Drosophila melanogaster: one gene and its partner. The protein of the gene in region 2 interacts with the protein of the main gene of each other region in a pairwise test. Each region holds a gene or a part of one and is shown on either strand. Other genes may lie near its edges.

Region 1 (7,230 bases), on a different chromosome or scaffold from region 2:
AGAAAAGCTTACTACCTATCATATTTACACATGGGTAAAATAGGCATTAACAAGATTGTTCAGTTTTCCGAATTTTGAAAAGCAGGCTTAAATCAATTGGCCAAAAAAAAATGTGGTATGTTAGCTTAAAATGGGCTTTATACATTTACAATGTTTTAAAATCAAGTGATCTAATTAAAAAAGATTTTCAAAGAAAAATATATTCGTAATTTAAGTTTAGAGAGACAAAATTCTTACAATCATTACTTACTATATGTTTTCGCCCTCATTTACCATTTATGTTCATAAAAAACTGGTTTAAGCTGTGCTTAAAAAAATCAACTAATGAAAAATGAATAGTATTATAAATCAATCATTTTAATCATATTGTCATATATGGAAACTGGCCACAAGTGAAAACTAAATCGAAGTTAAAAACGCATCCATTTCCTCCACGGAATGGTTTATTTACCATTGTGTAAATAGGATATATGTAGCATTTTCTATATCCTGCGAATTTCATATTTTACTATAGTTTGTGTTTGTCTTATTTGTGTGTGCCATATTGTTTCGTTTTGTTCATAGCATTTCGTATCCATATATTATTTGTTCAATTAATGTTTTTTGTCCACATTACTCGCTGTAAGCAGCAGCAGCAACCGCCAGTGGGAGTCTCGAAATTGACCAACCAAATATGATAATGATACTAATCCATTGTTAATCCGCAGCTTCAATCCGCCAGCTGCGGGCAACTCGGCGCAGAGTTCCCAGACGGCTCGCCGCAAAATCCGCGCCCCCGTACGCCGTTTGCCGCCCCGGTAGAAATGGCATCGCAGTCGGCCATCACGATAGCAAATGAGGCCGCCGTCGGATTAGGATTAAGATATTGGCAGCCATTGCCGAGAGTAACAGAATCAGCAGTAGCAGCAAAAGCATCAAGGGCCGAAAAGGAAAAGCAAGACACAGAAGACGCCGGCAACAATAGTGGGCTCAAAGGTTCGGTCCAGAGCCAATATCACCAGGAGCCAGATATTCAAGGATCATCGAGGATAAACATGCAGTCACCAAAGTCGCCATGTGTGAACAAATACCGCTTCGTACGCCGCCACAGCCTGAACTCTGAAACCAGGAAACCCTTTAGCAGGAATATTTGGCAGAATACAACAGGAGAAGGCAATGAAACCAATGGCGACGATGTCCCTAAAACACCAACAACTGGCGACCAGGAGGACAACCAACAGGAGGAACGAGATTCAGCGGTATATACATCAACAGAACGAACTGTACTAGTAAGGACCCAATTCAAGATAGTGCGGCAAAGGAGCGTCATCTCGAAACCGAGACAGAAGCCTCCGACTTACTCTTAAAAAGCTAAGGAATAGGTTCGTTCCACATCCTTCTCTGCTCTCCGATGATTGGGAGATGACCACGCGAATGTCGCTCATACTACGCATATTGATGATTACAAATTATAAAAACACTTCGTTGGATTTACGCGAGAATTCATCGCACCAAAAAAAAAACGAAAATGAATATATTTTAACGTTATTTTTGTTGAATATATAATATACCTTAACGATAATTATGTAATAATTATTTTGCGAAATAGTAAAGAAACGTGTAATGCTGCAATCAAACAGAGATGCGAGGCCATGTAATAGCGCAAAAAATCAACTACTGTATAATGTAGTAATACGTATATTCGAGTTATTGGCCGATACGTCGAGCATATGATGATTGCAGTCAGATAAGAGCGATCGGCAAACGATTGCATTAAGTCTTTAGTTTTTGTTATTAATTTTAGCGTTTAGATTCACACACACACAATTCACACGAGGAAAATACCTGCAACGACGTTCTGTGCAGCAGCCAAGGTGGAAAGCCAACAAATTAAAGAAAAACAACTATCTAGCAACGTAAAGAAACCAACCAACCCTATAGCTAACAAGATAACAGATTAGATGAAAAGATTAGAGAGAATGGTGGCAAACTGGAAAACCGAAAGAGTTATAATTGTATGCATGTTTTTTATATACATAAATTCATAAAGAACATTTAATATTTTATTTTAAGTTTATATTGATCATTTTTAAGTCGAGAACAGAAATGGAAATCAGAAGTCTATGTTGAGAGAGAAACGGTATCATAATGTAAATAAGTAAATATATGCGGTATGATAATTTAAACATTGTGCTCTTTACTTGGGTTTTCAACTGGAATTGCAATGAAATTCTATAACGAATATTTGGTGTCTTAAAGTACATATCTTACTTTGAATGGTAATTGTTTTCAGCGCGAATACTTTACAAACATTTGAATTTCGAAAAGCCAGTTGACCACAGGCGAACTCACCATGCCACGGCAACGGTCACACTGCCGCCATTGCGATAGACATCGATAGCCGTTCCAGCACTAATACTCACGATAAACACCACCTCTATTTCTGGCATCGGCAATTATTTCCCTAGGTTTATTATTTTTTTGTTAAGCGAATTGCTTGTGCGCTCGTGCTGTCGCCATAATGTGTGCAATGTGTGCCAGCCAGAGGAGCAAGTGGTGAAGGTGTATCGCTTGTGCGCATCTCGATTTGTCCATCCATATCCAATTGAATCCCAGTTTCCCAGTCGCGTCCGCTGCTATGCGTGTGTGTGTGCGTGCGTGCCCGTGTCCCTGCATGTGTGTGTGTGAGTGAGATCGGGAAGAAGTTGTGTGCTGTTGTTGTTGTTGTTTCTGTCGGATTTGCCGTTGCCATCGTTTGTTGTTTGTGCATTTTCCATTGTCGGGCGACGCAACAAAAAGAAAAAAATTACACATTAAAAATAGAGAGCAAGAGCGAGAGGGAAGGAGTGGTGTGGAGTGGAAAAGGGCGGTAAAAGGGCAGAAATTTGGAGCACGGGAAATCCGAGTCGCTGAAGATGTTCTCGAAGAAGAAAAAGAAACCGCTGATCTCGATGCCCAGCAATTTTGAGCATCGTGTGCACACGGGCTTCGACAAGCGGGAGAACAAATATGTTGGCCTGCCCCTCCAATGGGCGTCCATTGTGGGCAACAATCAGATACTCAAGTCCTCCAACCGCCCGCTGCCACTGGTCGATCCCTCGGAGATTACGCCCACCGAGATTCTCGATCTGAAGACTATTGTGCGTCCGCATCACAACAACAACAAGGCGGACACCACCTCGCTCAACAGCAGCAGCACAATGATGATGGGCTCAATGGCGCCGATGAATCCCATGGCACCTGGCGCACACCCAATGATGAGCCATGGCCCCGGAATGATGATGCCACCCGAGACGGGCGGCATAGTCCTGCCGAAGACCTCTCACGTGGCCAGATCCAATTCGCTGCGGAGTTCCAGTCCGCCGCGAGTGCGACGGGTAGCCAATGTGCCGCCATCGGTGCCGGAGGAGGAGGGACCACCGGCAGCTGGAACACCGGGAGTAGGTGGAGCTAGTAGCGGTGGCTTTAAGCCACCCGGTGCCCATCCCTCCCTGCTCTATAACAGTCAGCATGCGCACGCGAATGGAGCAACAGGACCACTGGCCGTGCGCACGGATCAAACCAACCTGCAGCAGTATCGCAGCAATCTGGCCCCGCCATCCGGCGGCTCCATGCCCCAGCAACAGCAGACTTCGCCCGTGGGTTCGGTGGCCAGTGGCACGCGATCCAATCACTCGCACACGAACAATGGCAACAGCGGCGGCAGCTATCCTCCCATGTATCCCACAAGCCATCAGCAGCAGCAGCAGCAGCAACAGCAGGCCAAACAGGGTGGCGATCAGAACCAAAATCCTCTGCATCCGCATGCTCATCCGCATCCGCACCATCACCAACATTTGGCCAAGTCGGCGTCCAGGGCATCCAGTTCCAGCGGGGGAGCGAGCAGTGCTGCCCAGCAGGCGAGCGGCGCCAGTGGAGGAGCGGCGGGTCAGCCAAAGCAGGACCAACGACTCACCCACGAACAGTTCCGTGCCGCCCTTCAGATGGTGGTCTCCGCCGGTGATCCACGCGAGAACCTCGACCACTTTAACAAAATAGGCGAGGGCTCCACGGGCACCGTATGCATTGCCACGGACAAATCCACAGGCAAGAACATCCGCTTTAACTATTGTCAAAACCATTGAATTAATGGCATTTGGTTTTCTCATTACGTACAGGTCGCCAGGTGGCCGTGAAGAAGATGGATCTGCGCAAACAGCAGCGACGGGAGCTGCTATTCAACGAGGTCGTCATCATGCGGGACTACCATCATCCCAATATCGTGGAGACATACTCCAGCTTTCTGGTCAACGATGAGCTTTGGGTGGTGATGGAGTACCTCGAGGGCGGCGCCCTCACCGATATTGTCACCCATTCGCGCATGGACGAGGAGCAGATAGCCACCGTCTGCAAGCAATGCTTGAAGGCTTTGGCCTATTTGCACTCACAGGTGCGTGACCAGCATGACACTGCCCCTTTCCTGTCCCCGTTCCCATTACCATTCCCTTGGCCAAACTGGGCAGCAGAGAACGGAGTACTCGCCATCATGCGATTCTTTGTGCCTTTGTACCTTGCCATTTGCGGCGCTTTCTTCGCCCTCCGCTTTCGCGTGGCTTTGGTTTCAATTTCTAAATGTTGTCACCAACAAAAGTCGTCGGCCGCACAGTGGGCCATCGAGTGGCGTAGCACGCCCAAAGTGCCAGGTGAAATCGCACGTGCATGCCCTACCTCAAAGCGAAAAGTGTGCATAGAGCGATTTTCGAATGGATAGTTAATTGCATCTTATGATGAAGGAAGTTTAAAGTTATAGTTCATTACTCATTGATAGATAAGCCAATTTGCTATGATTTTGCCTGAGATACAACTTGAGATATTAAAACTATCAATATTAGAATAGCATATAATAATAATATTAAGTCAGTCAGTCAATTGGAACTTGTTTAAGCCCCAACATTTCACAATACTAAGCATTCCTAATGTTTTAGATGTAGTCTATTTAAATGAAATTAGAACTAGAACCCAACCTGTTTATGCTATCTTCCACGTTAGGGAAACCAGCGTGTTCCCAAGAGCAGGAAATTCTTTTTGGGCGTTGCAGGGTCGATCTGGTTTCTTTTGTGCATTTCTGTCCCACGTTGGCTCGTGTAATGCGATAAGTGTCTGTCTGCGGGAGAAAGGGCGTTGGTTGGGGGAAAACCGCAAACTGTGAACGCTTTTAACCAATTTCCCTTCTCTCTCTGTCTCTTTCGACGGTGCTGCCGATGGCGATAAACCATAAACAGGGCGTCATTCATCGCGACATCAAGTCGGACTCGATTCTGCTGGCCGCCGATGGTCGCGTGAAGCTATCGGACTTTGGATTCTGCGCCCAGGTGTCACAGGAGCTGCCGAAGCGCAAGAGTCTGGTTGGCACGCCGTATTGGATGTCGCCGGAGGTCATATCGCGCCTGCCGTACGGCCCGGAAGTGGATATCTGGTCGCTGGGCATCATGGTCATCGAGATGGTGGACGGCGAGCCGCCGTTCTTCAACGAACCGCCGCTGCAGGCGATGCGTCGCATCCGTGACATGCAGCCGCCGAACCTGAAGAACGCGCACAAGGTCTCGCCGCGCCTGCAGTCCTTCCTCGACCGGATGCTGGTGCGGGATCCGGCGCAGCGTGCCACCGCCGCCGAGCTGCTGGCCCATCCCTTCCTGCGCCAGGCAGGACCGCCGTCGCTGCTGGTTCCGCTGATGCGCAATGCGCGACACCATCCGTAGTTGGATGCCACTGGACAACCCAGACGATCCGGCTGCTCGATGAAAGCAATCATTCCCACAGACAACGGATCCCGGCCCGTGGGCATCCATCTATTAAATTCTAGTATTAACATTCAGTTTGGCAGCTGTACTTAAATCCCCGGAGAATCCTCGAAACGTTGTAAAGTCATTTAAGCTCCGCACATCCATATCCATATCCATGCCCACTAACGTTCCAGAAGAGAACGCAATGTGCCTTTCACAAGCCTCGAAATCGAAATTGAAATCGCATCCTGCAACCGATACGGATGGAGAAACGATATAGCATTTATCTGCCCGAGAACCACATTTTTATATATATATATATATATACATATATGAGTATTTCAGCATTTTGCTCTCTGTCTCTTGTCAATATTGATTTGTGTGCGTGTGTGTTTGATTTTTTTTAACCAGCCCATAAAACATTGTTCGAATATATACATATATACGCTAAGAGCTAATGTTAAAAATCTATATATATATATATATACACATATATTTTTTATAAAAACAAATCCTAATTCTAAGCAAAAGCGAAACAACGAAGGTGTGAATCGAAGGGAGACAGAAAACGAAAGAGAAAGAGATAGCGTTAGGCGGAAGAGCATATACAATTTCGACATAAATATTTTTTAAACATTTTACATTTTACATTGGTGTGAAAAGTTTGTACGCTCCAGACATACACATATGCATATATCTAAACACATTCCCGATTTCGAAAATATTTTAGAACTTTTAGCTTACATTCTTTGTTCTGTTTTTTTGATTTAACCCGTGTAATTATTAATTAATGAATAAACTTAAATGCGAAAATGTTCAATTTTGTGGTTTCATTCATAGTTAAAAACTACCAAAAATAACTAGAAATCCAAAAAAAAATTTCTGAATAGAAATATTGAATATTTTAATATTTTATTCGACATTTTGGAGTTTCATTTTAAAGATATTTCTGTTTTTTTTATTACAAACTAATTGAAAAATGCATGTTTCGATTTTGTTGTTTTTATTACTGGTTGATTGATTGTTTGATTGATTGATTGATTGTTTGATGGTTGTGAAGAATACATAATTGTGCCCGCTTAAATACTCGCACATATATTCGCAAAATATATATGCGTATTTATCGCGTACATGAAGGATGGGGTACTGGCTCTGGATAAGTGGGCGTGGTCGTTGTGGCGTTGGTGGGTGGGTGTGTGTGAGTTGAGTGAGTGTTGTGTGTGCGCGTGTGTTTTTGTTTACAACATAAGATTACAAATATATTACATACACGAAAAATCAATTGCGAACTAAAAACTAAAGGGCAGATCGGGCTGCCACATAGCTAGCCATATGATTCGATGGGTAGAGGGGGGGGGGGAGAGAGAGGGGAAATGTGGTGTTGGAGAGGGGGGGGAGGGTTTGTTGTTTGCTGGTCACTGGGAATGTGTGTAGAATAGGAGTTGGATCTGATTGACACTCAAATCAACGCTCAGTTGCGCTTCCGCAG
Region 2 (5,366 bases):
CGGCTCGGGATCACTCTCGGCTTGACCTCTAGGTGGCCCCGTGTCATTTATGTGCACTTCTGGCTCATGCTTAATGCTGACCAGAGTGTTAATCGTATTCTTCAGCAGCTGATCCACTCGTTTCAAATAATTCCTGGCAGAAACCCTATCGCTATTTTTGCTTTTGGCAGCAACCAGTTGATCGGTTCCAGACGAAGACCGCAGAAGTGGCGATGACAGGCGTTCCAGAACTACTACCGGTTGCATACCCTCGTCTATGACGAAATCCGGCGGCACTGTTGTGGCCGGCGGAAGACCTAGCAATTCCTCCTCGATCTCGTTCTTGATTAACATCTGCGCCTCATTGGTCACCACCTGGGGCATGATGTGCTTCGAGTGGTTGAGGTAAATCTTTGGGCAGGTTGGCGCATGACGCATATAGGCCGCTTCGGTGTTCAAGGTGCGACTGCAACCGCCGCACTTGCGTTTACGGATGGCACAGCGGTGAGTGTTGTAGAAGAAGTTCGTGACGAAAGTCTTCTTGCACAGCGGACACTCCCGATCCAGGACGAGCAGTTGGACGGGAGTGGGTGGTGTGTGTTCGCGCAAATGGCGCGTAAAAGCATACGCATTGGCTACGCTAGACTCGCACAGGGGACACTTGTAGGGAGTCTTGGAGAGCTTATGCCACAGCTGGTGGGCGCGTATGTCGCTCTGGTTGTGGTGCGTCTGGTTGCAGGCATTACATATGTATCGCGGTATCGATGGCACATGCACCAGGCTTTTATGCTCGTCGGCCAGCTCCTTGCTAAGGAACTTCTCGCCGCAAACGCTGCAAATAGACTTGCGACCGGCCTTTTTCGGTGGTCCCTTAAGACTGGTGTCCTGTTCAGCGGGCTCGTCTTTGCTGGGATAATAAAAATGGGAATTATTTACAAATAGAACAAGAGGAATGTATGTTATAGTTACATCTCCGGCTCTCTTTTGGACACTAAAGATGTTATCTGTGATGGCTGTAGTTTTTGCTTTTTGTGCCACACAAAGGACTCCTTTTTTACCTGTGGCTTGACATTGTTATTTTTTGGCCAGGATTCCTCGCCCTTGCGCTTCCTTCCCCGTTTTCCAACTGCACCAGATATTGGCCGTTCCTCCTTAACGATGCGCTTAAGATCAATTAACTGTGAGGCGTAAATAATACATTAGTTCGTATAATTATAAATTATAATATAGTTATTCGTTTTTCTCACTCTTGCGGGCTCTATTTGCTTCAATCCCAATAGATTTCGAGTCTGTTTATTCGTCGCATAGCACATTTCCCGAAACTCATAAAAATCATTGATTTTATCCACGCACTGGCTGCAAATTGTCTGCGGCATTTTGTCGTCCACGGACACCTGCAAAGGGCGTTGGTTAACTTGGCTATGAACATTTTTAAGAAAAACACCCACAGTGAAGCCCACCAGCTCGTAGATCTTCTGGGACATCCTAGGCTCGTCCAGGTCGATGGTGTCTTCTTCATTTGGCAAAAGTATTGGCACTTTTCCTGGATTATCGATGCCGCACAGACGACAGATCGTGCACAGATTCGCCTTGAGGGCAGCGTCGATCTTAAAAGCAAACCGATCCATTTCGGCCGGATCTTAAAATTTGTCTCGAAAGGCTTTATTCACCGGTAATTTAGCATGATTAAAGGTTTTATCTCCAGTTGAACTTGCATTTTGTTTATTCCAATACGCTTAGTGTTGGTCAGCGGCTAACAAGGTTGGTAGAAATCGATGTGCTATCGATAGGATCGAATTTTTTGCTTATCTCAAAATTAGCAAATTTGATTTTAAGTATAATTTTTGAAACTCGTTAAAAAAAATATTTAGCCAATAAAATCACATTATTGGCTATTTCTTATCACTAAATATAAAAAATTTGTCAAAAATTTTTATAAATAAATAATGTTATATAGTTGCAGAATAAATACTGAAACAAATTGTACGTCTTTACTAAAAAGATGTTTGTTTACTATTTTTACAAGTGGTGTTAAAAGCACTTCGTTTTCAGGGCTACACTATGAAATTGTATCATCGTAATTTCAGAATATATTGAATTGCAATAAGTGCTTTGGATGAAAAATACTTCAAGTTAATCATCGTACGGCGAAGCAAAAAGAATCGATTCCATTAATTTACAGAGTATTGTGCCAAAAAAGGATATTTTAAGTCCAGATGATTATCTACCATTGATGAATCTACCATTGTTCAACTTTCTTAATTCTTGATTGTTCAGTTGTAAAAAGAAATCGGTTACAAGCAGCACGGCGTTGCACCCCTGGTTTCAGAATAAACACAAGAAAGGCCACGGGGAAATTGCATCGCGGTGCCTGTGAAATCGCGAGAAGGCACACACCCATACACTCCTCTAGGTTTTCCGATCCACTTAAGAGATCCCAGAGCCCACACGATGGAGCGGTACTTGAGCCGCCGCGAAAGTGGCTTCCACATCCACCGGAGCGACGACAACTCCCTGATGCGGCGGATTTACAGCTCGATGAACATGTTTAATAGCTACCACGCCAACTGCTGGCCCACGGATGCGGGACGCACTGGGGCCATCTTCAACCTGGAGTTCAATGCCGATGGGAACGTTGTCGTGGCCGCCACGGAGAGGAAGTGCGTCCTCGTCTTCGATGCCATCACACAGAAGGAGATCTTTAAGGTACCGGACGCCCACACAGATAGTGTCAATTGCATCAAGTAAGTGTAGAAGTTGCCTTCGAGGAGGTTCGTTGCTAATCCTCGCTCCAGATTTTTTGACGAGCGCCTCTTCGCCACTGGTTCAGATGACTTTACTGTGGCACTGTGGGACCTGCGGAACATGAAGCAGAAGTTGCGCGTCCTCCACGGCCACTCCAACTGGGTGAAGAACATCGAGTACTCCTCCAAGGACAAGTTGCTCGTAAGCTCCGGCTTCGATGGCAGCATCTTCACTTGGGACATCAATTCGCAGACTGAACAGGGCCTTATCTCGCAGCGCGTATTTCATGCCAGTGGACTGATGCGCTGCAGGATTTCGCCCACGGGCGATAAGCTGGTTCTCTGCACAAGCGGTGGATACATTATGATTATCCATCACCTTGACCTCACCACGCTCCACAAAGATCTGTGCGGATTCAGGGTAAGAAAGTTTGTAAATATCGCTGTGATTTTCAGTTTGGTTCAAGATTTTAAGTTTCGTCCAGATATATGAAATGGTTACATATGTAGATAGATGGTCAACTAATAAGCCCGTTTGATTTTCCAGCCCGGTATCTACCGACTTATGCAGTTGGGCGAACAGTATATCCCGCAGGCCGCAAAGTACGATCATGTGTTCTCCAAGCGTCAAAAGAAGAACCGCGTGGAGCTGGTCACCGACTTTCCGGAGAACAACGACGCCGAGATGATCATGGCATTGCAGATTCACCCGCACTGTTGCTGCATGCTGACGAGGAACGTCAGCTGCGACGAGCAGAGCGAGTGGACCTGCATCCACGACATCAACGAGGAGCCGGTGCGCAGCGAGGATGAGCAGGACGAGGTGGAGCCACAGCCCAAGAGAAAGCGAGTGTCCACCACACTAGCCAGCCGCAGCTCGTTGAATGAATCCCAGGACCAGGATACGGTTGGCCTTACTCCCAGACAGGCACGGAGACCGTTGCGGGTCAGCAGTGTACAAGTATTCCAACTGGATAACTCTGGAGCAGGGCGTGGCGCCTCTGACAACCCTTCAGTCTTGACACGCTCGGATTCCTTCATACCGGACATCTGGGCGGCGGAGGTCACAGTCCAGGAGCGGGCCATCCGACAGAACCGTGCACGCGTCTCCAATAACCATGTCAGCGGCTATAACTTTGTGTACGCCATCAGCAGCGGAGTGCTTCCGCTAAGACAATTGGGGGCAAATAGTCTGATGGGCAGCAGCACCAGTCCTCGCCCCCTGACCACCCCGCCGCCCACAGAAAGCAACCAGAGCAGCAGCAGTAGCTCCAGTAGCAGTAGCTCCAGCAGCAGCTCCAGCTCCAGCAACAATAGCGACACCACAGTCCGCTTAGAGATCGGAAACAGGCTGCGTCTGCGATCATTCAATAGTCCTGTGACAACGCCAACGTTCAAGGAAAACGGTCATTCAATACTGGTGAATGCCAAGAAACTGCTTTACTATGCCGCCGAGACCAACACCAAACCGGGCTTCATCAAGGAACCTGGATTCTCCGCGGACGGTCGGGTTGTCTGCTCGCCGTACGGCAATGGGGTAAGACTCTTTGGTTACAGTGAGGACTGCTGCGACTATCCGAAATGTCAGGCGTTTGAGGAGGTGAAAAGCAAACCGCGGAAACTGGTTGAGCTAGCCAAGATCACCGAACACCAGGACGTCGTTCTGTGCGCCAAGTTTAGCCCCAGGGAACCGCTCCTTGTAACCGGATGCAACGGGGGCGAGGTGACCTGGTATCGACCCAACCTGTAGACTTCAGTTGAGCCGGGCGAAGAGCGCGCTCACTGTCAATCTGTATATTTAATTTTCTATTTAGGCATAATTCGACTTATTTCAAGCATATATTGGCTAAATACAAGCAACGCGATTATGGTGGACCGATAAAAAGCTGGTATATTTTATTTTTCGCAATGGTGGGGTTATTTTGTGGGCTCAAATAGGGGTTGATAAAAAATTACAATTAGATGTGTACAACTTAACAGAGCAGCAAGGCAAAACTAAACAAGCCGTAGCGTCTTAGAGCTACAGGTGGCGGAGTGGGTTACATCTAGGCAGCGAACTTAATAGTAGTTGCCATAACCGCTCCACTGGCCGTAGTTGTAGCCGCTACCACCACTGTTGGCGCTGGCCCCACCGGAACCGTAGCCCCACTGATTGTAGTAAGAGTCGTAGGACGCCTGTTGTGGCGTCTGTGAGGGATAGGCTGCTGCGGTATTCTGCTGACCATAGTATGGATTTGCTGCTCCATAGTTGTAGCCTGCGACTGCTGCGGCCGAGCCACCATTGTTGTAAGCTGCCGCCGCGGATCCTGTGGGGACAGGACCTTCTTTGCTGCTTGATGAGTTTTTGCGACTAGGACTGCCATCACTATTGGAATGTCCATGATTAATGAATGAGTGTGGATACATCTTCATGGATTTCTTACCTTTTCTTTTGCGCTTCCTTGGCTTTAGTGAGTGCCTGCTGCAGAGCGCGCTGTGCGTCTTGTAGACCCCTGGCCGTGCTGCCGAAATCCTCAAGGAACTCCACTTTGCGCTGGGCAAACAAAACCTTCTGATCGGGTTCGATGTCCGCACGAGCCATGAACTTATCCATAATTTCGACTACCTCCTGCTCATCGACTTTTGGGCGCTGTAGGCACAAAT

The links. The genes of interacting proteins can lie anywhere in the genome.
Region 1: the proteins of CG1523 (region 2) and mbt interact in a two-hybrid assay, tested with the Drosophila melanogaster proteins (one large-scale study listed by BioGRID).

The regions. Positions count from the first base shown.
Region 1 is NC_004354.4:16,608,298-16,615,527, forward strand, and holds mbt (mushroom bodies tiny), read left to right. Parts: upstream 1-2,387; 5' UTR 2,388-2,894; coding exon 2,895-4,065; intron 4,066-4,136; coding exon 4,137-4,408; intron 4,409-4,479; exon of another isoform or gene 4,480-4,977; intron 4,978-5,240; coding exon 5,241-5,717; 3' UTR 5,718-6,559; downstream 6,560-7,230. Other genes in the region: Nup153 (nucleoporin 153kD), read left to right, coding at 708-801; CG9782 (uncharacterized protein), read right to left, coding at 7,213-7,230. UniProt on the Drosophila melanogaster protein: Involved in neurogenesis of the adult central nervous system, and together with Cdc42, regulates photoreceptor cell morphogenesis. Phosphorylates exogenous substrates when activated by Cdc42.
Region 2 is NT_033777.3:28,816,579-28,821,944, reverse strand, and holds CG1523 (uncharacterized protein), read left to right. Parts: upstream 1-2,276; 5' UTR 2,277-2,430; coding exon 2,431-2,723; intron 2,724-2,774; coding exon 2,775-3,144; intron 3,145-3,270; coding exon 3,271-4,473; 3' UTR 4,474-4,603; downstream 4,604-5,366. Other genes in the region: CG1647 (uncharacterized protein), read right to left, coding at 1-886, 949-1,157, 1,227-1,373, 1,428-1,607; Prp39 (pre-mRNA processing factor 39), read right to left, coding at 4,782-5,088, 5,147-5,366.